Daphnia pulex: one gene and its partners. The protein of the gene in region 1 interacts with the protein of each later gene in a pairwise test. Links are inferred from orthologs where the notes say so. Each region holds a gene or a part of one and is shown in the gene's direction. Other genes may lie near its edges. The genes, in order: ras-related protein Rab6, ecotropic viral integration site 5 ortholog-like, GRIP and coiled-coil domain-containing protein 1-like, protein bicaudal D-like, TATA element modulatory factor-like and golgin subfamily A member 1-like.

The links.
Region 2: the proteins of ras-related protein Rab6 (region 1) and ecotropic viral integration site 5 ortholog-like interact in a two-hybrid assay, tested with the Drosophila melanogaster proteins (2 studies listed by BioGRID). The link is inferred for Daphnia pulex from reciprocal best matches to the Drosophila melanogaster genes Rab6 and Evi5.
Region 3: the proteins of ras-related protein Rab6 (region 1) and GRIP and coiled-coil domain-containing protein 1-like interact in a two-hybrid assay, tested with the Drosophila melanogaster proteins (2 studies listed by BioGRID). The link is inferred for Daphnia pulex from reciprocal best matches to the Drosophila melanogaster genes Rab6 and GCC88.
Region 4: the proteins of ras-related protein Rab6 (region 1) and protein bicaudal D-like interact in a two-hybrid assay, tested with the Drosophila melanogaster proteins (3 studies listed by BioGRID). The link is inferred for Daphnia pulex from reciprocal best matches to the Drosophila melanogaster genes Rab6 and BicD.
Region 5: the proteins of ras-related protein Rab6 (region 1) and TATA element modulatory factor-like interact in a two-hybrid assay, tested with the Drosophila melanogaster proteins (2 studies listed by BioGRID). The link is inferred for Daphnia pulex from reciprocal best matches to the Drosophila melanogaster genes Rab6 and Tmf.
Region 6: the proteins of ras-related protein Rab6 (region 1) and golgin subfamily A member 1-like interact in a two-hybrid assay, tested with the Drosophila melanogaster proteins (2 studies listed by BioGRID). The link is inferred for Daphnia pulex from reciprocal best matches to the Drosophila melanogaster genes Rab6 and Golgin97.

The regions. Positions count from the first base shown.
Region 1 is NC_060023.1:1,255,386-1,259,445, forward strand, and holds the start of ras-related protein Rab6, read left to right. Parts: upstream 1-1,260; 5' UTR 1,261-1,460; coding exon 1,461-1,530; intron 1,531-1,622; coding exon 1,623-1,735; intron 1,736-1,801; coding exon 1,802-1,907; intron 1,908-1,974; coding exon 1,975-2,090; intron 2,091-2,159; coding exon 2,160-2,249; intron 2,250-2,334; coding exon 2,335-2,398; intron 2,399-2,627; coding exon of another isoform or gene 2,628-2,695; exon of another isoform or gene 2,696-3,386; intron 3,387-3,528; coding exon 3,529-3,599; 3' UTR 3,600-4,060. Other genes in the region: cullin-4A-like, read right to left, coding at 1-38, 110-263, 326-562. UniProt on the Drosophila melanogaster protein: Protein transport. Regulator of membrane traffic from the Golgi apparatus towards the endoplasmic reticulum (ER). Mediates membrane trafficking during egg chamber growth and organization, possibly upstream of exocyst component Sec5.
Region 2 is NC_060021.1:8,635,220-8,637,877, forward strand, and holds part of ecotropic viral integration site 5 ortholog-like, read left to right. Parts: coding exon 1-214; intron 215-328; coding exon 329-499; intron 500-871; coding exon 872-997; intron 998-1,087; coding exon 1,088-1,206; intron 1,207-1,836; coding exon 1,837-1,951; intron 1,952-2,040; coding exon 2,041-2,199; intron 2,200-2,287; coding exon 2,288-2,512; intron 2,513-2,609; coding exon 2,610-2,658. UniProt on the Drosophila melanogaster protein: Functions as a GTPase-activating protein (GAP). During border cell migration in the ovary, acts as a GAP for Rab11 and is necessary for the maintenance of active receptor tyrosine kinases at the leading edge.
Region 3 is NC_060018.1:298,106-302,227, reverse strand, and holds the start of GRIP and coiled-coil domain-containing protein 1-like, read left to right. Parts: upstream 1-1,322; 5' UTR 1,323-1,375; coding exon 1,376-1,466; intron 1,467-1,573; coding exon 1,574-1,740; intron 1,741-1,803; coding exon 1,804-1,962; intron 1,963-2,037; coding exon 2,038-2,183; intron 2,184-2,259; coding exon 2,260-2,391; intron 2,392-2,457; coding exon 2,458-2,602; intron 2,603-2,664; coding exon 2,665-2,829; intron 2,830-2,885; coding exon 2,886-3,039; intron 3,040-3,106; coding exon 3,107-4,020; 3' UTR 4,021-4,122. Other genes in the region: signal peptidase complex subunit 1-like, read right to left, coding at 738-968, 1,037-1,096, 1,156-1,182.
Region 4 is NC_060027.1:4,510,132-4,514,421, forward strand, and holds the start of protein bicaudal D-like, read left to right. Parts: upstream 1-1,490; 5' UTR 1,491-1,754; coding exon 1,755-1,955; intron 1,956-2,118; coding exon 2,119-2,313; intron 2,314-2,375; coding exon 2,376-2,546; intron 2,547-2,604; coding exon 2,605-2,842; intron 2,843-2,904; coding exon 2,905-3,275; intron 3,276-3,344; coding exon 3,345-3,551; intron 3,552-3,603; coding exon 3,604-3,817; intron 3,818-3,884; coding exon 3,885-4,184; intron 4,185-4,251; coding exon 4,252-4,290. Other genes in the region: guanine nucleotide-binding protein-like 3 homolog, read right to left, coding at 1-212, 319-334. UniProt on the Drosophila melanogaster protein: This protein is essential for differentiation. It may play a role in localizing of Nanos (a maternal determinant) activity in oocytes. Functions redundantly with BicDR.
Region 5 is NC_060017.1:4,092,872-4,096,814, forward strand, and holds the start of TATA element modulatory factor-like, read left to right. Parts: upstream 1-1,143; 5' UTR 1,144-1,276; exon of another isoform or gene 1,277-1,367; 5' UTR 1,368-1,407; coding exon 1,408-1,537; intron 1,538-1,615; coding exon 1,616-1,750; intron 1,751-1,809; coding exon 1,810-1,928; intron 1,929-2,010; coding exon 2,011-2,227; intron 2,228-2,306; coding exon 2,307-2,578; intron 2,579-2,651; coding exon 2,652-3,058; intron 3,059-3,118; coding exon 3,119-3,209; intron 3,210-3,276; coding exon 3,277-3,605; intron 3,606-3,670; coding exon 3,671-3,755; intron 3,756-3,837; coding exon 3,838-3,943. Other genes in the region: 60S ribosomal protein L18-like, read right to left, coding at 42-311, 372-578, 638-724, 861-863.
Region 6 is NC_060020.1:6,037,641-6,041,645, forward strand, and holds golgin subfamily A member 1-like, read left to right. Parts: upstream 1-1,272; 5' UTR 1,273-1,427; coding exon 1,428-1,821; intron 1,822-1,883; coding exon 1,884-1,972; intron 1,973-2,043; coding exon 2,044-2,301; intron 2,302-2,367; coding exon 2,368-2,997; intron 2,998-3,070; coding exon 3,071-3,229; 3' UTR 3,230-3,505; downstream 3,506-4,005. Other genes in the region: transmembrane protein 41A-A-like, read right to left, coding at 43-198, 260-367.

The DNA.
Region 1 (4,060 bases):
AGCCAAAAACTGTGCTAGGTTTGATTGAACGTGCGATTCTGTAATAGATTTTAGAAAAAACAAATTATTAAGATACTATTACTTTCGAAAATGCCATTTCGCAACAAACCTGTCAAGTTTTTTAACTTGCTGTACACAAGGGGGGCAAAACTATGGCTGCAAAGGTTTTGCACAGCCTGATACAAGTCCTCTAGGGCTGATTTAATTGAGGTTGAATTCTGTATAGCAACAACAGCTTCTTCCAGCTTCTGCCAAGCAACATCCTGCAAAAAAAAGTTCAACAGTCAGATGTATCGAGAATTTAATTTCAAATTGAATAAATAACCTGGTAATTCTCAGGCAATTTGGGGAGTTCTTTCATAGACTTGATGACAATTTTCTTGACATTTCCAGCAGCTGGTTTGACTACTGTTGGAGATGATTTCGTCAACCCATTCGTGCTGACCAAGGCAGAGAAGTTGGCCCTCTTTGCCTCCTCCATGGTAGGCTTTTTTGCCTCCACCTGATTTTCGTCACTATGCTTTCGCTTGACTCCAATCAATTTCCCGGTCGGCTGACTCATATAGAACCGATTTCCGGCAACTCTCTCGAGCTGTAAGCCAAAATCTAGAAGTCTTGAATGTTACGAGAAAAATCACATGCTCGACATCATCCGACACAACGAAACCGACACGTTTTTGTTACTTATACAAAGTGACCGTTACGTGCAACAACAGCTTTATTCTCACAAGGTTAACTCCACGTCAAAAAGTTGAGAAATGACACAATTAAACTATTGATGTTAATTTAGTCAGTACTTTCAGGAAATTCTGTTAGTGAAAGAATCCTTACTGCAATAGCAGCAGATGAGCAGAAGGAACGACTGAACGGAAAACAGTTTTTAGCACGGCACTCAATGCTTTACAGCGCCCTCTTCGAGTTCGACAAAAAAAGAAGTTTAATAATTATTTTTGCATACGGTGCATACAACACTAACCCATGTAACGTTTAATTTTCATATTAATCAAGTTTATGTAATTTTCGTGGCCATGAAATTTTACGTCACAAAACCGTTTTGGGGTTGTTTTTCGAATTTAATCGATTTCAGCATTTGCATTCATTTCTTATTGAATTAAATGAATAATTTTCAAAAAATAAATTACTTAATTTACTAGCTATTATGTTTAAATTTTACGCCGTAAAATATATTCACAATGAGCAAACAAAGGTGTAAAAAGTTGTGAATTACAGAATGGCAACGCACGTTTTGGTCCCTGCAGAGCAGTAGCACGGCAAACTAAAGAGACCAATTGATACGTGGACAGTGAGCGAACTGTCATATTGGGGTGTGTTGGCTTATTACTGATTCGGCAAATAATATTTGGCCATCTCAAGAATTTATTTGTTTACTCGATCTCTGAAATTAGAGGCCGAATTGGTTGGCCATCTAAATAAGGGAAATTTGCGTTTATCTTTTCAAGATGACGACTTCCAATGAGTTCTCCAATCCGCTTCGGAAATTCAAGCTGGTGTTTCTCGGCGAACAGTCTGGTCATTAACCTTTTACTGCTTTTATAGAATATTCTTAATGCCGGATTTCTGTTATTTAGAATCTTCTGTTAAATTTTATTTTATTTTTACAGTTGGAAAGACATCACTGATTACGAGGTTCATGTACGACAGTTTTGACAATACTTATCAAGCCACTATTGGAATAGATTTCTTGTCTAAAACAATGTACTTAGAAGACAGAACTGTAAGTAAAAATTTCATCATGCATAACTATTTTGCAATCCCAATGACTAATGCTGTCCAAATTCAGGTTAGGTTGCAGCTGTGGGATACCGCAGGACAGGAGAGATTTCGCAGCCTTATACCTTCATACATCCGTGACTCTACAGTAGCTGTGGTGGTTTACGACATAACAAGTAAGAAATCAAACCACAGTTTTTGAATTACCATCAAATTACAATAATTTTTTGTTATCCTGTTTAGATGCAAATTCCTTCCATCAGACATCCAAGTGGATTGATGATGTGAGAACAGAAAGAGGGAGTGATGTGATAATTATGTTGGTTGGAAACAAAACAGATCTCTCAGACAAGCGGCAGGTCAGTCATCACTAGTGCAAGTAGCATTTTAAACTTCCTACGTCATAGTGGAAATGATTACTTTTCCAGGTTTCTACCGAGGAAGGAGAACGAAAGGCGAGGGAGCTTAACGTTATGTTTATTGAAACAAGCGCTAAAGCTGGCTACAACGTTAAACAGGTTTGTAGGACAAATTCCATTTTTTTGTCACGATCCACGAAACTTGTTTCGCACAATTTTGTTTCATTCTTCCTTCTTCCCGCAGCTTTTCCGACGCGTAGCCGCCGCACTTCCCGGTATGGAAGCTGATAAGAAACCTCCAGAAGACAGTAAGAACTTTTTTTTCTATAGCCGAGCATTACTAGTATTTCTCTTCTATAAGACCCCTCTCCTTTCGGTGTCCATAGTTCCTGTTTATTTTATCTCCTAAACTTGTTTTGCATGTCGCTTTGATTCATTTGGTGTTTCAGGATGCTTTTTCTTTCTACGACTTTTTTTAAGTTGAATATGTTTTTTTTTGTTGTTGTTTTCCTTAATTCGTTTTTTGTGTCCTCTTAGTCACGGAGATCGATTTGAATAACGCACCGGTGGAGCTGAAACCTGCAGAGGGCGGCTGTGCATGTTAAACAAACAATAAGAAATCCTCCTTTCCTCCCTCCTAAAATCATTACTTTTCTTCGTCGTTACACGACTTTATTCAAACATTAAGAGCAATAGTTTTGCCTGCTTTCTCGTCTTATATGAGCAAGAGATAGCGATACAACAAAACATATTTATCGTCAATTTTCATCCATACCGTTTAGTGTTTTTGCTAAAAATATAAGGGACGGTTTGAGAACATTAAATTGGCGGAATGAAATTTCAGAATAATTTTTCTGGTTGGTAACGAACGAAAAACAAAAGAAAAGTAAAACAAATGGTAGCTTTACATCTCGAGTGCTTATATCGTTATACAGCCCCTATCATCATCAGAAGCACTCTTAAATTTTGAATCCTTCGTTTATTTCATTACTTTGGTCTTCACTAGTTTTTATCCAATAATTGGGTCTTCCGAAATGTTTTTCAAGTTATTTAATTCATTAATATCAAATAATGCTAATTAAAAAGAGATTCTTTGTTTTTCCAAACCCGCTGGAATGCGTTTTTTCTCTTACACCCTCTATACTTATATTTCTTTCTTTCAAACAAATGAATGGCATGTTTGATTCTGTTTACGTCACGTTTCAACGTGGCACTCACCTGAACTTTTGTCCTGATAATGTTGTGTGTGGATCATCAAATCATCTTAATACACCGCTTGCTTTTCTTTCCTCCCAATTAGACAACAATTTTGCTTTTCTCAGTATTTTTCGTTTAGTGGTATCTTTTGTGGTGTGCGTTCTTTAATTTATATCTTTAATTGTTCTGTGGTCCAATGAAATCAAACTTACAAAATCATTCAATTACCCCCTCCAATTAGCTGTCGACCTCCGCCCATCAACCAACGCGAATCACCTGGCTACAGACCAAGAAGGTGGATGTTCCTGCTAATGATTAAAATCAAAGGAAAGAAAAAGAGCAACCAAACTTAAAAGGAAAACAAATGAATACCATCCAAGAAAGGGCTCAATCGACCGTCATTGTACAGTCCAAAATCTCTCGAAAATGTCATCAGTTTTTAACTTTTTTCTTCACACAAATGATTGGCTCGCAGTTTAACTTTTTCCATGTTCCTTCTCCTAATGGAATGTCGTGACTTGGGATTTTTTTTTTTAATTTTTAAATTAGCTTTACCTATTAAGGTTTCCGGTGTACCGTTCAGACTCGACGGTTATGCAAAAACTGCACGTATTATCGTCCAATATTATTTTCAACACAAATTAGAAAACGCTATCATTTTACAATTTGTTACTTTCTAGTTCGTAATCATTAAGTAAAAGAAAAAAAATTCACGTTTTGTCACATTTTCTCTAAGTTCATGACGTCCTCCCCCCCCTTCCAGCCAATTGCGC
Region 2 (2,658 bases), on another chromosome or scaffold:
CAACGAAGAGGATCAGTGGAGCCTTTGGGGCCGTCTGGTGGCCGACTGGGCCAATACGTACAAGAAGCGAAATGCCTACGTCAAGGACCTCGTCCGCAAAGGGATCCCGCATCATTTCAGAGGCGTCGTCTGGCCACTGCTGTGCGGCGCCAATGACTCGCCGGCCAAGTCGCAATACGCCGAGTATATCAAAGCCACATCCGCCTGTGAAAAGGTTTCCATCCTTTTTTTTCTTCTTTCTTTCATCATCTCTTCAATCCGGTGATGGATCTGTGGATGGTATGATAATAATATAACACATCCTTCCTGAACAAAAAATGTATGATAGGTCATCCGTCGCGACATAGCGCGCACGTACCCCGAACACGACTTCTTCAAAGAGAAAGATGGCCTGGGCCAGGAAAGTCTCTTCAACGTCATGAAAGCCTACTCGTTGCATGACCGTGAGGTGGGCTACTGCCAGGGATCTGCTTTCATCGTTGGCATCCTCCTCATGCAGGTACAGTACATATAGACAATCCGGTGGTAGAAAAGGAAAGAAAGAAAGAAGTAAATATTATAAAAAAAAGGGAAAAGATCATCGCCTTGGTAGTTGGTAGAGTAGTGGATAATCACCATCCATCATTCACTCACGCCCACTATGCCGTGAAGGAATGCCTTTCCATAGATCGTTTCATTCAAAAATAATGAAAGATGTAGGAACGCGCAGGCTATCAACCGTCGTAAGGGGATGGTGGTGTAGTTGGTCATGTTTCCCCCCCCCCCCCATTTTTTGGCTACTTTTTTCTTTCTTTTTCTTTTGATTATTATTTAAATTCTATTAAGATTTGATAATGCTCACGCTCTGTTGTCTCAATTTTCGAATGAATAGATGCCCGAAGAAGAAGCTTTTGCGGTCGTGGTCAAATTGATGCAGGAATATCGATTGCGGGAGATTTTCAAACCTTCCATGGCCGAGTTGGGTTTGGTTTTGTATCAACTCAAGAATCTCGTCGAGGTAACTCGCTAAAATTATCATACATTTTGAATGCTAGAAAATGATCTTGATTTCCGTGGTCTTTGTTGTGGTTTTTGGTTGTGATGGCAGGAATTGTTGCCCGATCTCCACGCCCACTTCCTGTCACAGAGTTTCGACACGAGCATGTACGCCAGCAGCTGGTTCCTCACCCTATTCAGCACCACGTTGACCCTTTCGGTGGCTTGCAGGTAATATAACAATACAAATGCACACAGAAATTACCTAGAAACCCAGTTGTTTGACGTTGTGTGCCAACTGCCGAGCTAAAATGGGGGGTTGACCGTTTCTGGAAAGTCATTTTCCAGCAGCAGCAGTCCACCCACGCCAATATGGAAATCTCCTACGCCCCCACATCCTACCCAGTCATAGTAACAATATTTCTAAAAAAGTATGCCATGGACCTTTGAAAATTCTGTCGGCTGGAATTCTCATCTTCCCTTTTGTGGGCAACCGAAATAATGAAAGTATTTAAGGGAAAACAAATGTGGGTTCTTTGCCAACTATTCCGGAATTGTTGTCGTTTGTTATTGTTTCCATTTCTTTCCTCCTTGTACGATTGCGTCGCCGGCACACAGTCACCCACCAATTCCTAATTCAGTCGAGCCGAGACTAACTTTTTCCTCCTTTTGAGTTTTTCTTTCCTTTTTCTTTCCTTTTTTATCGGCATTCCGGCCGGTCTCTGCTATTTCAGTCGGAGAACATCGTGACTAACATGTTCAAATGCATTTAAACTACCGGAGAGGAAAACATGAAAATGTCGACAATGCTCATTCATGTTTCTTTCCTTTTTCTTTTTTTTCGGTTTTTCTGTTACCAAGGGTGATGGACGCCTTTTTGATTGATGGCATGGAAATTATTTTCCGGTTGGCCGTGGCCATTCTCAACTTCGGCAAAGAAGACCTTCTCTCTCAGGATATGGAGGGGATGCTCAAGGTATTTTTCTTTCGTTTTGTTCATTTTAGTAGATAACAGGATTATAATCTTTTATTTTTCTTGTGTCATTTTGATTTGGTTTTCGGCAGTATTTTCAAAAGGAAGTGCCGGCCCGTTTTGATCCGTGCCCAGATCCTCTTTTTGTCGCCGCCTACAACGTCAAATATAGCGCCAAGCGCATGAAAAAGTGGGAAAAGGAATACACAGCTCTCAAGACGAAGGAGCAAGAGGATCAGGAAGAAGTCCGGGTATTATTATATTTTATTTGTGGATTACTTGAGATGCCGACGCGGGAATTCACGCATGTGGCTTTTCTCATTGGTTCCCATTCGACAGAGGCTGAGAGCCGAGAACCGTATGCTTCGCCAGAAAGTCTCCATGCTGGAAACGGAGTCAAGTGAGCTGGCCGAACGGCTGGTACGCGGCCAAGTCAGTCGAGCTGACCAGGAAGAAACAACTTTCCACTTGAAACGTGAACTGGAAGCGTCCAGGCAACGTGACGCTGAGAACACTGCTCACCTGCGTGAGCTCCAGCAGCGTCTCAAACACATGGAACAAGAGGTTTTCATCTCATCCATCTCACTCACTTTATTCGCCTTTCAATTAATACTCCTTTTTTTCTCTCCCCCCTTTTCTTTTTCCCTTCCGGGATCGATAGAACTATTCTAGGCAGTCGTCCCTAGAGATGGAACCTACCACATCACCAT
Region 3 (4,122 bases), on another chromosome or scaffold:
ATGCGGTAGAAATAAGAGTAGAACTACTACGTATATTTTTATGAATGCTGCGTTTCATACTTAAGAATTTATGAATCGTTAGTATATCAAAGAAGGAAACATCGAAAGGGATAAATATTGGATCATTTTCCTGTTTGTTCCAAACCTGTTTTTAAACAAGGCTTAGTTTGTTAGAAGACAACATTATTTTTTTTCTTCTTTTGACTTAACTTGTCCGCTAGTTATTATAAAGATAGCGACTTTAAGCCAACTTGAATTGCCTGATCGTCATCGTTTTTTGCACAATTGCACGGAGACTGAATTCATTATTATTTTATATCAAAGTTAAATTACTGCTTCCTAACCTTTTTTTTTAAATGGTAAAACTACTTTTATATTTGCAGATGCAGAGACAATCATCAATGATCACAGGAAAGGGGGGGAGACAGGTAGCCTACTTTTTCAGTGGTGTTATCACTTCTACAGTCTGTGGAGAGGGGACTTCATTATTAGTATGCATAAGCGCCGATGAAAGCAGAATTTCTATAGTAGTTAAATGGAATTTCATCTTGAATGTAAATTTAAAAAAATGGATAGCTTTAAAGTTCAACTTATTTTTAAATTTTCTGATTTTAACAGGAAAACGCAAAACTGCAGTTTTTTAGTCATTAAAGGAGCCTATTTACAGGAATAAAGGTCAGTCTAGAATATTAGATGTTTAATAAATTTTTATTTTTCAATGAAAAATCACACAGTGTTTACTTATTCTTTTTCTTTTGCTTGGATGCAGTAGTAACAACTTCTTTTTGTTCTGTTTTGGTGGTATCTACAGTAACCTCCTTACGAGGCTTCCTCCAGTTTAGACTCTTTCTGCGATACATGGGCCAGGGAGGTAGTGTGACAATCGCAGCAATTAGTACTCCAACTCCAAGGACCAAAATTGTCTGAGAAAATTGTTGGTTGATGTATCCTATAACCCAGCCAATAACCTAACAGCAGATTTTGAAATTGAAATTGTTATTCTGACAACCATAATCATAAAAATTCAAAACTTTACCCCAAAAACCACAACAATGATGTGCGATAACTTTTCGGCGAAATGCTGTCCTTCATAGTCCTAAGTAAAAAGTTTTTCGTTAAACAATTTATGAGGATTTTTCAAGTATAAATGCTAACCATGTGAGTATCAAAATTGAATGCCATTATGAAGCAAATTAACAGTTTTCAAGCAGTGGCTTTTTGACAGGTACACAACTACGAGAGGTGACGTGTAGCTAGCAGCCGCTGTGTATACACAGTTACAATACATTCCGCTAGGCGAAGTCAGCTGCTGCTTATGTGGTTAAACGAAAAAAACAATGTAGGTAAATAGAAGAAATTAAATAAATTAGCAGAAATGGATAGATTAACAAAAAAAGAGAAGGAATATAAAGAAGTAATTGAACAGCAAAAGGAACAGCTTGGTCGTTATGAGAAGAAATTGAGGGGTAGGTTTAATTTTATTTAAATATTTTGAAGTGTTTTAAGTTTGAATTCTACCATCACATTGTTTTTTAATATAATTTTAATTTCATTATTTTTGTGTGTTTCTTAGATGTTGTTCAAGCCTACAAAGGCATTCAAAAAGAAAAGGAAGCCTTGGAAGCAAGTTTAAAGGCTTTGGCTGAGGCCAAAAATTCAGCAGATGATGGAAATTCTGCAGAAAATATTTCTGGAATTGATTCATCTACATCTCTTGAAGGCATTAAGAATGACACAGAGGTATTATATAATTCATGAAATTTTTTTTTCTGAATCCTAATGGTTATAATTTACTAAATTAAGGATGGAGCTTCTGCAAATAAGGAAAGAGATACTCTTAGACTACTGAAAACCCAGTTGACTACTTTATCTGAGTCATTGGCAACCATAACTGCTGAAAAATCAAGAAGTGAAGCTAATTTCCAACAAGATCGCAAAAGACTTTTACTAGAAAAAGAGAGTGTAAGTTTACTAGTTGGTTGAATTTCATTAAATTATAAGAAAATCATGTGTAGGTTATTTTTTTCCTTTTTATAGTTGGAGAAAGCATTAGCAGGTGCCTGTAATCAGGCAGACATTGCCTCACAGTCATTTAAGCAGCAACTGTCTGAGCTTAAATCTAATCTTAGCACTGAAAAGGCTGAAAGAAGCAGAGAGTCAACAAATAATCAAGTGATTCTGAGGTGTGTGAATCAAGTGATTCTGTAACAAATCTCTCATCCAGTTTCATTTTTTTAAATAATATTTCATTTTCTGCAGAGAACTGCAGAAAACTATTGCAGAAGAGAGGCAAAAAAGAGAAAACCTTGAATCAGAACTCAATAGTAAATCTAGATTGTCACACCAAGCTAGCAACCAGTCTTCAAACCAACTGGAAGTTGCTGAAAGAAAGTAATGCCCTAATAAACTGTTGTTATGAAATATGTCATTTTAAATATTTATTTTTAAATGTTTTAGGTTTCGGGATCTCAGTAATGAACTTGAATCAACTAAAATGAAACTGTTTGCTGCCGAGCAAAAACTCCAACAGCCATCTCATTTGATGCAACTTCAGAACGAAATGGCTGATTTAAAGATACACCACCGATTGGCTATCCAGCAGGTAAAAATTTCGTCCAAACTGAAAGGTGATTATGATGTTTAACTTTACCTTATGAAATACAGGAACAGCGAAATGCGCTCGAGGCTAAGGAAGATGCGCGAAAGCTAGCCGAAGCTCATGAAAAGAGAGTTGCCAGTTTAGAAGCTCGCTTGGCGGAATTTTCCGAGCGGATCGGTTCCTATGACCGTTTACGACAACAAGACCTGTCCACTGTCTCGAAACTTAGGGTACGTATCACTATAATTATTATTTCGATGAGTATTTAAACTTTTTTGGTTATCAGGAGCAATTGAACACCATGCAAAGTGCACCAAGCCAAGCTTCCAATCACAACGAAGAAGAATATGACGTTCCAAAAATTATCGATAAAATAACTTCATTGAAAAATAGGTTAATGGAAGTCAACCGTCGGTCGAATGCAAACATTAATCTCGCTGGTAATTTGTTTAGTGGTGTTTCCTGATTTTTAAAAATTAGTAATTTTTCTTTTATTTCAATTTATAGCGATTTTTGAATTAGACAATGCCAGTTCAGACTCTGATCATCACGAAGCCTGTCAGTTGGAATTGCAGCAACTGAAACATGAACTTGAATGGTACAAACGCGATGAAAAACCAGTCGACGTAAAAGCAGTTGCCGTAGCAGCTCACACTGAAGAAGAAGTCAATCAAATGCGTGTTCAAATCCAGTTCCTCCGCAGTGAAATGGAACACGGTGAAGAGGAGCATAAGGATTCGATGCGATCGATCCAAGAATCTTGGGCCAAAGAGCGTAGCGAGTGGAAGGATGAAATGGGCCAAATGGAACGCACGTGTCGTGTTCGTGTTGCCGATATGGAGCAACAGCTTCAAAAGCAAAGGGAGCGATCCCTGACGCTGTTGCAGGAAAAGGACGAAGAACTCGCCAGCCTCCGCGAATCGTTAAACTTGAAAAGCGGATCGGCTTTGTCTCCTGTCACTTCTAGTACTAAAACCAGCGACTCGAATGACGAGTGGCCTGAATCCTTGGCCCCTCTTGCCTCGATGACGTTAGGAGCTTCTGCCAGTGGTGGGCAAATTTTGCATTACGTGGAAGAACTAGCCCGGAAGGAGGGGGAGATTCTTGGTCTGCGTCGTTCCAAGAATCAGCTGGAAGCCTCTCTCCGTGAAATGCAAATGGCCTTTGTTACCATGGAGCATAAAGTTGCCGAGCAGAAACAGCATCTGCACGAAGAACTGGCTCGTTTGGAGCGCAATCAATCGCGTGAAGGCGCTAATTTGGAATACCTGAAAAACGTCCTTTTGGAGTTTTTTCTCCACTCTGATCCGTCCTCTCAGTCTCACATGTTCAACGCCATCGCCGCCTGCCTCCATTTTTCACCGAAAGAGATCCAGCGAGTGCGATCCCAGCATCCCAAATGGAAACTGAATTTGGTTTGATCCAGTCCTGCTGCATTTTATCCGCCAGCTATTCCTAGTAAGTTGGAAATCGCCTCTGCGGCAAATTTTCACTCTTTCCATTTCCAAGTGCCCTTGTATTAC
Region 4 (4,290 bases), on another chromosome or scaffold:
TTGCTCTCTTTCTTTAATTTGTTTTAGTTTCTCCATATCCAAAAGAATTTCCTCCTTAAAAGGACATGAATTTGGCACCCCACGATCTGTACGAGGCTTGCGTTTCTTTTCTGGATTTCTTCTCAAATCACGATTAACCTTTCTCTTGTGTTCCTTGATCTTTTTAAGGATAGTATACTTCCTCCTGAGAGGCAATCGGTGACTTTTAGCGCCTAGAGAATTTAAAAAGGAAAATATATTTGATATTCTTAGGATTATACAAAAGAAAAAAACTCTCGAATAAGTGCGAATACATAAAGTGAATGATAAATAACATACGTAATTGTTTCTTCATTTTAAAACTGCTTGGTGACGAATGTTCAACAGCGCACGTGGCCAAGTAACACTAACAGAAAAGCTAGTGGACTAATGAGCAGACGAAAATCAATTTTTGACATACCGTTGTGAACTACCGATGCTGAAGCCTTTTCTGACCATAATTTTTCTTCCTTCATTATTTAAAATTTTAAAAAATTCTGACTAAATTTTAAGGGTTATTTGTTATTGATTATGTAATACAATTCGCACGTTAAGCAGAAATTTTTTCTTATTTGTCAATTGTCAGTTCTTAATAGGCTTGAATTTTAAAATAAGAAGCAAGCCAAGAACCTGAAAGACTAGAGAAGAAAGCAAAAGCACTTCCAATTTCTAAAGAATGACAAAACAACTGTTGAACCAAACAAATTTATTGACTCTGTAAACAATCTTTGGAAACAGTAGTTGAAACTGGTAAAGGGAATAGACTGGAAGGTGTTTTGAAATCAATGCTGATTACATCACTAGATCTCAAAAGAGATTGTTTACAGTTCCCCAAAGGAGTTTTTAGGCCAGAGACATGAAAATATTTTAAATCAGCACTGGAGCATTCATATTGACCAGTAACTGTAATATTTTCATGCATAGTGAAAACAGCTTCCACTCCTATAAATAGAATAAATAACAGTTAAAATACAATTGGGTTATGTTATATAAAGCTTTGATTACCATTGAGTTTGGTTAGTGTTCGCAGAAAGTGTTCTCTTAACCAGACTCGCGCTTCTTCATCTGATGACATTCCTACTCGTATTCAGAGCTCGTATTTGTTTTTTAAGATTACAAAACGACCGGCAATCAGGTTCTCAGGACGATCATCTGCAATTTACCAAAACACAATAAATATTGACTGATACAACTAGGCTATAGTGGATTATAAAACTAATCACCAGAGTTTTTTTATTAATGAAACAAATACTTAATTAGCTAAAAGCTCCAATGAGAAGAACAATACACCAATACCTTGTAAATTTGAAAAAGTATCAAAATATTCGCAATCAGAACAGACGAACTATTTACTCTTGGTTGCCACACCTCCTCGCTACTTTGTTGTGATTTCTCAAAACGTTTCACGACTGACACTAAAAATCATAAAATAAGTCTATTTTTAAAACAAATTTTTTTTCAAGTTAAAATAACGAGAGATTCATATTTTTAATAGATTATTATTTTTGTTAAAGTTTTTCCTGGTTACCATGCCTTTCTTTTGAGGGCATATGTGGTCAGCTGTTCAGTTCATTTTTTGCAGGGTCTGGTCTTGACAGTTTCACTCATGGCTACCGTCCTTCACCAATCCTCGTGAAACCTCTCGTTTATTTTCGCTGCACCCATCGTTTTTAACTGTTACAATTTCCCTCCTTATTAAGCACTGGTTAAGCACTCGTTTTAATTGATACCATAAAATGGAAGTGGGTAACGTAGAAATTTTAAACTTGGAAATCGAACGGTTGACGAGAGAGCTGGACCAGACGAACAGTGAAAAAATCCAGTCCGCTCAATATGGGATTGTTTTACTGGAAGAGAAAGAAAATCTTCAACACAGATGTGAAGAACTTGAAAGTCTCTTTGAGAACGCTCGACATGAGTTGGCATTAACCCGTGAGGTAACCTTCTATGCTTTTTATTTAAATGGATTGCACCATCACATACCTTGTGCTATCACCCTGTATATCTGTTTAGTTACTCTACATTGAGTTCTTATGTTTTATACATCAGATATTTTTTCTTGATATGTCTTAATAATTTGATGTAACATTATGTATACAGGCACTTGCTCGCTTCCAGAATAGTCACAAGGTTACAACCAAGAGTGGCATAGAAACCGAAGAATCTCTTTTATATGAATCAGCTGCAAGAGAAACATCTCTCAACTCTCAAATCCTTGATCTTGAAGCTGACACAAAGCATTTGCGCCTTGAACTGGAAAGGGTGACAGCTGAAAGAGACCAACTCACTCAACAAGTAAAGTAAAATAATATGCAAGTCTCACTTGTGTAATTATATTTTATTCACTTTTGAATTAGTTAAATGATACTGGGAAAGAGAGGGAAGTCTACATTTTTGAACGAAAAACTTTAAAAGCTGAATTGAAAGAACTCAAATACAGAGAGACCCGCCTTCTTAGTGATTACTCAGAGTTGGAGGAAGAAAACATCAGTCTTCAAAAGCAAGTGTCTGTGTTGAGGTCTTCTCAGGTAATGTTGAAAATGATTTTCCTTCCAGTATTCCATTTAACCAAATATTTTTGGCTAGGTTGAACTAGAGGGAGACAAACATGAACTACGTCGATTGCAAGAAGAACTCGAGCTGCTCAATCAACAAAATGCAGAGTTGGCGCATTTGCGAAAATTAGCTGAAAAACAGATGGAAGAAGCATTAGATGCCCTACAAGCTGAAAGAGAAGCCAAATATGCTATCAAGAAAGATCTTGATGCAAGAATGACTAGTGAATCCATGTTCAATTTGAGCAATTTAGCATTCAGCATTAAAGGTAATTGTGAAACCAATTTTTATTTAATTTATGTTTCTGTCATTTCCTTTTTTGTATTAAAGGACTATCTGAAGAACATGGGGCAAGTGAAGGTGAAGACGACGGTCCACTGTTGCAAAAACTTGAAGCCTCATTCCTGAAAACTGGTGGTGTAACCAATGACGGGACAGAAGGGGGCGATGGGAACAACAAGGGTGGTGGAGATTTGTTTAGTGAAATTCACTTGAACGAAGTCAAGAAACTAGAAAGACAGCTAGAACAAGTCGAAGCGGAAAAAGGGATGTTGTTTCAACGTCTACGAGATGCCCAAGATTCCTCCGATGTTGCCCGACACGAAGCAGCATCCAGACATGTTCAACTGGCCAAACTGGATGCGTATTTGGCTAGCCTACTTCACCTTCACGAAACTGTGGAAACTCCTACTAATGCTTCGGTAAAGCTATTTTCTATTTTTTCTGATTTTTTTTTAAGGTTTCAAATGATTATTTTTTGTTTTTCGTAGGAAATTGATCGGACACCATCAGAGCCGTCTTCTGCTCCTGGCAAGTCTACGTATCTTCAGCAATTGGTTGATAAATTCAAGCATCGTACCGCGCTGGCTGTTAGGGAACTTCAGCAAGCTCAACAAGAATTATGGGCTCTCCGAGGAGCATCTACCGGTCAACTACCAACTGATATGGAACAAGATTTCATCGCGTTGAAGAAGAGGGTAATTTTTGTAATACCTTTTTAATTAGACATTTACTCACCTTTTCGTGTAGTTGTTAGATACAGAGCAAAAAGTGTCAGTTCTTCACTCTGAAATTGCGGCCTCCTCCGAGTCGGCTGGTGATAGTCGAGCTACATTGGTAGCACTTCAGTCTGAACTATCTCCTCTTGTAGATGACATCACTGCCCTTACGCTACATCTGTGTGCTGCCGTAGGCATTCAGGCAGGATCAGGGTCCCATGCAGGAATTATCCGGAGCTCAACTGGTAAGTAGAACTTAGTTAAAATGAATTTGCTTTTGAATATTGACTTAAGATTCAACAACTACAATAGATGCTGGCAGTGGACCTAGTAGCTTAGCTTCGGATGTCGCTGGACCAACCTCTATCGGTTCCGAATACAATAAGGAGAACATCTCACCAGAATCCAGTGTTACAGTCACTTCTCTTCAAAATCCTACTCGACTCTTGCACATGCTTCAAGAGCAAGTTCGTCTGTTGCGCCGAGCTGCTGAAATGCTGGTCAAACAAAGCCACACCAAAGACACACCCAACGACTTGGTATCAGACAAGGATCGAGACAACTTCGAGTCAGATGTCGCTGAACTCCAAGAACAAATTGTTAAGCTCAAAGGTATATTATTGTCAAAAAGTATTATTAGGATTATCAAGTGTAACGGGAAACTTTGTTTTTGCTTCAGCTTTGCTCTCAACCAAAAGAGAGCAAATTGCCACTCTAC
Region 5 (3,943 bases), on another chromosome or scaffold:
TCTTTTGATAACCAATACAAAAACTTCTCGAAAGAAGAAATTTACTTTTTGTAACCACAAGATGACCTACGACCACGAGCACGTTCAAATTTCCGTCCCTTAGAGCGAACCAATGGTTTAGTGTGTGATCCAGGAACACCAGGAGCAGGTCCGAAGTGTTTGTTAGCTTCCCTAGCTTTGCGCCGCCCTTGGATAAGAATAGTATTTTTGCCTGTTGGTGCACGCAGGGCCAACTGATCGAAAGTCAAAACATGACCACCAGCTTTCAAGATGCGAGCTCGAGCTCTCTCTGTTGCACGCAGAGCACACACCTGAAGAAGGAATGTACCATAAGACACGATATTGCAAAATGAATTTTTTAAAAAAGTTACCGTGAGCTTGGGGATTTTGAAGATCCTAGGATCATCTGTCAAAGTTCCGACGACAACAGCAATCTTTCCTTCTCTTCCGGCTTTCTTCATATGTCTTGACAAGCGAGACACCGACAGTGGTGGACGGTTGATCCTCGACATAAACAATCGCTTCAAAATGATGCGATTGAACTTGGCCTTGGTACGACGAGCCAAAAACCTGTACAACTGTAAACGAAACGATTTTACAAAATAGTCCAATGACACAAAATTTCAATGATTCTTACCTTCACCAAAAGTCGAAGATAGACATCTTCAGACCTCGGTTCACGTCGGACGACTTTACGGTCGTACTTATGGTTGATGTCAATACCCTGAAAAAAGAGGTATTACAATACATCGATTAGTAAAAACATCCAACAATCACTCCAAATCAGCACGTTACTAAAAAGTATTTGAGAAATACAGGATGTAAAAGATAATTTTAGATGAAAACGAGCTAGTCTTTACCATTGTTTCTCTACCACTTGGGGACTGACCAAAGGCAAAGCGAAAAGACTCTGATGGGACTTCTCGGTCTTAGAAATGGATAACTTCAACATTGCCATATCGTTCCTGTAGAGCGTACTTTCACACGTTGCCTTCAGAGTTCAGACTAGATTTTAAATTGCTTTTAAAACCAGTTATAAGATGACATAGTATCTGTATTAATTCTTTAGAAAATTAGAGTCATATAGATGACGATGCTAATTATTTTTTGGAAAATTTTACTCGATCGAAAGTAGGGTAGATAAATGCTTTGAGCAACCATGTTATGCAATACAAAAAGCAATAGCTTTCTGACATTTGTCTGCTAGAAATTACAACTTTTGATTGTTTTGTTTTTTTGGATTTGTGTTAATGACGGCCCAATTATAGTTTATGAGGCAAGTATTTAAAAAATAGGGCTTTCTGTATTAGATTCTTATGAGAGATATTACTTTTGGAATTTTCGGATATTTGCTTGTCGTTTAAAAGCTGAAAGCTATTGCTGACGTGGCTACCGTCTACATCGAAAATGAGCTGGCTCAATACCAGTAGCATTGCAAATTTGGCTAAAAATGCACTAAAAGAAGCCCAAAAAACCATAGACAAAGCACTTGACATTAGAGATCCAGATGCTGTTGGAAATAAACCAATTGAAAATGGTATATGTATCTCAGTTGCCTACTATGATAGATGAATGTATTTAATAACAAGTTCTGTTGCATGATTTGTCATTCAAGAAATTATTGGACACTTCTTTGAATCCTTCAATTTGGTGAAAGAGGAAAATGATCCACCTGATGAAACCAGAACAAGCTCAGAAGATGTCGTAGTGAGTGAACCAGACTCAAAGTCTGAAAGAGATCAGCAAAAAAGTACTAAACATGTGTGTGTCAAGTCATTCGATTGATAATAAAGTAATTTTGTTTAATAGCAGCAGTTTTTCAGGCCCCAGTTTCAAATGTACTTCAAACAACAGCTAAAGATTTAAGCACCCATACTGAAACATCCATTCCTGCAGGAGACCTTGAAAAAAAAAGCAATCCCAATGAGGTAAGGAAAATAAATAGATGATAAAGTTGTTCAGGAATAAGAAGTATTTGATTGTATTTTGTTATATTTTCATGTCATTTAGCTGGATCATGTGGTTCTGACTGATTCTATAGAAGAAACGAATGTAAATGAAAGTTACCATAGCTCTATGTCAGTTTCCAGCTCCATTACCGTCATCAGTCCTGAAAATGATTTGGCTGATATGGATTGGAAAAGTGATACCAAAAGTGATGCCAGAGAAGAAACAACCAACCACCATCGCACACAAAACAGAGATGAAGTTTCAACAATGCTGTCGGGTACGCTGGCGTCTTTTCTAAACTTCTTAGATCTGATTAAAGTAAGAAAGTTGAAATAATAATAAAACAACATCTTCAGAAGCGATGAAGGATTCGATCAAGACTGAGACCTCGGCGTCTGCCTCAGGTGACGAGATCGAGACCACCACTTCGTCGGATATCGAAATCATCGCAAGTCCTCAAGCGGGTATAAGACAACTCGTAGCTCCCGTCCGTTCAAGAAGCGAGTCAAAGACTCATAGTCGGAAGCCATCCGAAGCTTCTAGTGACGATAGCGCAACTTCCACTGGACAAGATTCGGACCCGCTCAAAACAGAATGCCAAATCATTCAACTGAATCAAATACTTGAAGTATTTCAATGTTATATACATTTCTATTTTTGTCAGTCTTTTTTATGATCCCCTTGATTTTTTTAACCAAAAGGCCCGAGATAACCAATTATTGGAATATACCAGGAAATGTTACGCATTATCGGAAGAAGTAGAACGTGCTAAATCACAGTTGGCCCATGACGAAAAGGAGCGAACGGCTTTGGGTGAAACCATTCGTCGGCAATCGGACGAGTTTGCCATAAGGTTATCTTCGATTGAAAAACGCTATCAGCAGGTATTGGCTGAGCGTGAATCACTAGTCAAGAAACTTGAACAGATTCAACAGAACCAAGAATCTTACGGCAGTTTAACAGAGGAACTTCGAGAAAAAAACGAAACTATTGAACAACTAAGATTTGAAGGCGAAAAGCTATCCAAGCAACATCTTCAATTATCAAACATAATAAAGAAATTGCGAGTGCAAGAAAAAGAGGAGGAAGTCCGTTGCAAACAATTCAAGTAAATATTTAAACAAATTGCGTGTAAAAATACAAGTTCATTTTTTCCCCCGTCATTTAGAGATCAAAATGAAGAACTAAAAAGTGAAGTAGATCGTTTGAACAAGTGTTTGTCCGCGAAAGAAGAACTCGAGAGGAACCAAATCGAAGCTGTAAGCTGAAGTGCATAAATTTTAGAGAATGAAATGTTGTGGCACTAAACACGTTTCAATTATGCAGGTTCGACAATCTGCGATGGTTAATAGCCAATTAGAAAAGGAGCTTTTGGCCAATAAAGTCATGATGCGTGAAAAGCTTGCGGAAGTGGAAACTCTTCGAGCTGCGTTCACTGAGGTAGAACAAAAACTTCTCGAAGAAAGAGCCACTGCTGCCATTCGCGATTCTGCGGAAACTGAGCGCAATCTCAGCGCTGAAGTATCTTTGCGTCAACGCCTTCAGTTAGAGTATGAAACATCCAGCCGTTTGTTTGAGGAAGAAAGACAAGCGCTCACAATGCGTTGCCAAGAACTGACCCAGTCACTTGCCGAAGTCGACAGTGATCGCTCAAGGTAATGTACATAACTCATTTAATTTTGATTTCAATGCGTCATCATTTGTAAATTTGATTTTTCAGAGAACGAGAACGGATACAAAGCGAAGTTTCGCGATTAATGCATAGGCTGCATGAAGCCGAATCTCGTAGCGATGAACTATCTCAGGTACAATTTTTATTACAGCTCGATATTGATTAAGAATGATGACATTTAATTTTGTTAACTTTGTTTTATTTTCTGTGATAAGGCATTAACCACTGCGACCAAGCCTTTGATACGTCAGATTGATACGCTGCAGCATGCACTAACCTCACAAAGGTTGTCCGAAGAAAGATCTGAAAAGATGTACAACG
Region 6 (4,005 bases), on another chromosome or scaffold:
ATTTAAAGGTTACAACAAGAGTAATATTAATAGTATGCTTACCAAAAAAACTGAACCTGGTATTGCAAATGTTTGCTTGTACAAATAAGCACTACAGAACAGAATGTAAACATAGAGAGGATGAAACTTTTGAAATTCAAGCAATGTTCCTGTTAAAGACTTTAATTCTTCAAGGTTGCTTGGAAACTTGATCATGTCCTGGAAAAGGGTTTTCATACTGTAAAATATTTTAATTTCATTATGTTGAAAATTATCTAACCTTAAAGTTTTGAATGGCAACAGAATCAGGTACAAAAAAAGTTGTCATAAGAAGTAACCAACTAGTGGCTGCAAGCCAAATCACTGGTAAATATAACAAACTACCCATTACACTAATAAAAGTTACTAAATACTAACACAAAAATCTTGTTTTTTCCTTCAGTAGGCTACTGTCTTCAACGAGCTGTCCCGCACTGTCCCGAGGCCGAAGCTTTCGATCAATTACTTCCTTGTTCCTTCTGCTTGAATGAAAACAATGCGATGTCAGTGACATCTATGATAGTATGATCTAAGCGAGAACACTTCCGCATATTTTCAATAGTTTTTTTTTTTTTTTTTTTTTTTTTTTAACGGCGATAGATCCGGATCGGTCACGATAGGAATAAGGAAAGAAATTTAGAGCGGGCAAGATGGACTCCTACCTCCATCAGATGGAGGTAGGATAGTACTCGGGTGCAGTGCGATTTCTAAAACAAACACGAACAAAAACGAAATTAAGATGATGATGATGACTCTCATACTAATAACTTTGAATTGCTAGTATAGAGAAATTCTGAGCGAGATAGGATTTCGTTCCGTCTGTTGGTCACGAATTTTTTAGTAATTCAAATCTGATCTTTTGCTGTGCGTGTGAGTTTATTTCCTGAATTCCCTCCTCAAGTACCGACGACTACCTAATACTTACCCATTTTAAATGTTTTGACATCTAAATTTATGGTGGAGGGGTCACTTAGAAGAAAAAAGAACGCAGACATACGGATGAAGTTCATTTTACGCTTTGGCCATTTGAACCGCACTCGAATTTTTGCACAGATCTTTTTACAATCTTTTTACTCTGAGAGGACAGCGCCATGTTAGTTTCGTCTGCGATCTAGAATCCTAATGAGAAAATTTTGTTGGAAAAAGAGTTTTGTCTATAACGTCTTGAACAAATTTCACGAATGCAAGGAATACGTGCTGTTGTATATTGTTAGTGCATAGGATAATAGTGACGTTCATGCGTTTATGTCCTACACTCCTACTGTTGTTTTTCACTACGTGGCGTATTATTGCAGTTAAAATAGGCGGGGCTTTTTATGTTTTATGGTTGCTGTTTAATCATTTGATTTTGTTGTCTGCTATTTATTAGTACAAAAAGTAAAACATCACGAAAACCGTTAAGTGCCAAGATGTTTGCGAAATTAAAGAAAAAAGTTGAAGATCTTGAAGGATCTGATTTACATAAATTAGCAAATTCTATAAGTTTCTCAAATATCAGTGGAGCTCCTGAAAAATCTCCTTCGTCTAATTCAATTAAGTCTCACGATAACTTTGCTTCAACATCCCAGTCTCAAAAGGGATCAACTACGAGCTTATCCTCAATGGCAGGAACTTCGAAAAATGATGAAGCTGATGCCAATATGGCAGCAGAAAAGAAATGGAGGCAAAGATTAGTTGAAATAGAGAATGAGTGGAGAGTGAAGGTTATGGTGCAAGAACATGAGAAGGAGCAGGTTGCTAAAGATCGTGACATGCTTGGACAGCAGAAAAGAAAAATGGAAGAAGAAATTAAGGAACTAAAAAGTATGTAGATGGTCTGTCACATTTAAAAAAACTTTTACATTCATACTTTTTTTCATCTTCAGGTTATCAAGATAAATATCTGAAAGCAGAGGAAAACCTTAAATCGTTGCAGGAATCAAATAAACGAGAGTCAGCTTCCCTTCAGCTTTTGGTACATGGTCCTTCATACATATTATTAACAGTTAACGGTTTCAAGTTAACATTTTAATTTTAACATTTCAGTTGTCAAATGCAAGTGTTGAAGTTGAAGACATGAAAACCAAAGATGATTTACTTCAAAAAGAACTGAATAAAAAAGATGAAATGGTGAAAATGCTTCAGGTTCAACTACGACTCAATGAGGAAATGCACCACAACACCCAAAGCTCAGATTCAGAGGTAAACAGTCAAGAACCCAATATCGATCGAATAGAACGAGAAAATCTCCTTCAGAAACAAACAGAAACGGAAGAAAGGTTGAAGGCACTTGAAGAAACTTTGGTAAGATTGAATTGAGTTTTCCCTAGACTTTGCAAGTGCATTTGTCAATTTGAATTTCATGTCCAGGTTGCAAAAGATGGCGAGCTTCAGCGGTTACAAAGGCATTTCGATCAAGGGAAATCAACTCTTGAAACCATGACGCAAAATTGGCAGGATGAAAAAACGCATAATTTAAGTTTGAAAGATAAAATAGCTCAGCTCTCGGAAGAAAAAGATCATTTCGTTGTGCGGAATGCAGAACTATCTCAGCAAGTGTCACTGAGTCAACAGCAATTGCAGCGGACTGAGAAGGAATTGCGAGAGCTTCAGGATAAATTTAGCGACACGGAAAGGGAGAACCAACAAATTAAACTCCTTTTGTCAGACGCCGAAGCCCGGGACGAGAACTCTGAGAGAACGTGCAAATTGCGATCCCAAATTGTCGAATTGGAAGCCGCATTTTCAGAGAAGAACAAAACGATTAAATTACAGCAACAGCGATTGAGCGACATGAAAAAGACTCTGCAGAAAGAACTGAAGAATCAAAATAATGATCCCGACAGTCTTTCGGTGCCGACATCCGCGTCTTCCTCTACCGCTCCTAAAAGTCCCGTTCTACCCAAAGCCCCTCAACCTGCCAAGAATGAAATGGATGAAGTAAACTTTAAATATTTAAAGCACGTCATATTCAAATTTTTAACGAGTCGGGAATACGAGGTAACAATTGCTTTATCGTCTTTAATTAAATTGATTTTTTAATTAATTTTATTTATTGTGCGGCTGGGTGTAGGCTCAGCATTTAACGCGGGCCGTTTCAACGTTGCTCAAGTTGACGCCAGATGAAGAGAAACTGCTGAAAGAAACGCTGGAGTGGAAAATGTCTTGGTTTCGATCACGGCCGGACTTGGGAACCGGCCAAGGCGCTATGTACATTCCACCAACGCACTGAAGCAGAAGCACACCATCTCAGATTGCTTCTTGTTGTTTGATTTTCTTTTTCCTCCAACTATTTTAAGTTCGAGCCGCAGTTTAACAGCTGATTTGCTCCAAAGAATCTTAACATTGTACAGAATTCCTTTTCGACTTGATGTCGTTCGAACGCTCTACACGTTGCCTCCTTTGGGCCTGTCTGGATACTGCAGCTATAGTGAAATCATGTAATAATGGCTTTTTTTTTTATTTAAAAAAAAATAATAATAATATTCCATTTCAATGTTTAATCATAGCCACGTGTTGTTTTCCCATAAATCTCCTCTATGCCTTAATTAATGGAACCTTTCAAACTGAAGTAATCAGTCCTCGCTTTTGATATTATTAGTAGGGGCGACGTAATTAGCTTTGGAATCGATTGTCAGGAGGAAAATGTAAATCCCGACGGGTTCATAAATCTTCTCGGTTTCTGTTTGGGTGGACGGGAGCTGCAATGTTTGCGACTTTAGGCGTTGATTGGTGTGTACTTAGAGAGCGAGCGAGCGATCCAAGATGGGTAATGGACTAGAAATAAAAAAAGGGAAAAACTAATATCGAAAAAAAAGGTATCCCGGCAATAGAAGGGAAATGTCTCGCGGGAAATATTTGGAAGGAAGAAGATGATTATATTATATGATGCGCATATTTATCCATCAAGTAATACAGTCGCAATATTACGCAATACCGTCGGTGAAAAATTTGCGCCTTTAACCGAAATCATTCAGAAACGTCATAGTGTTTTGCGCACAATGCGTA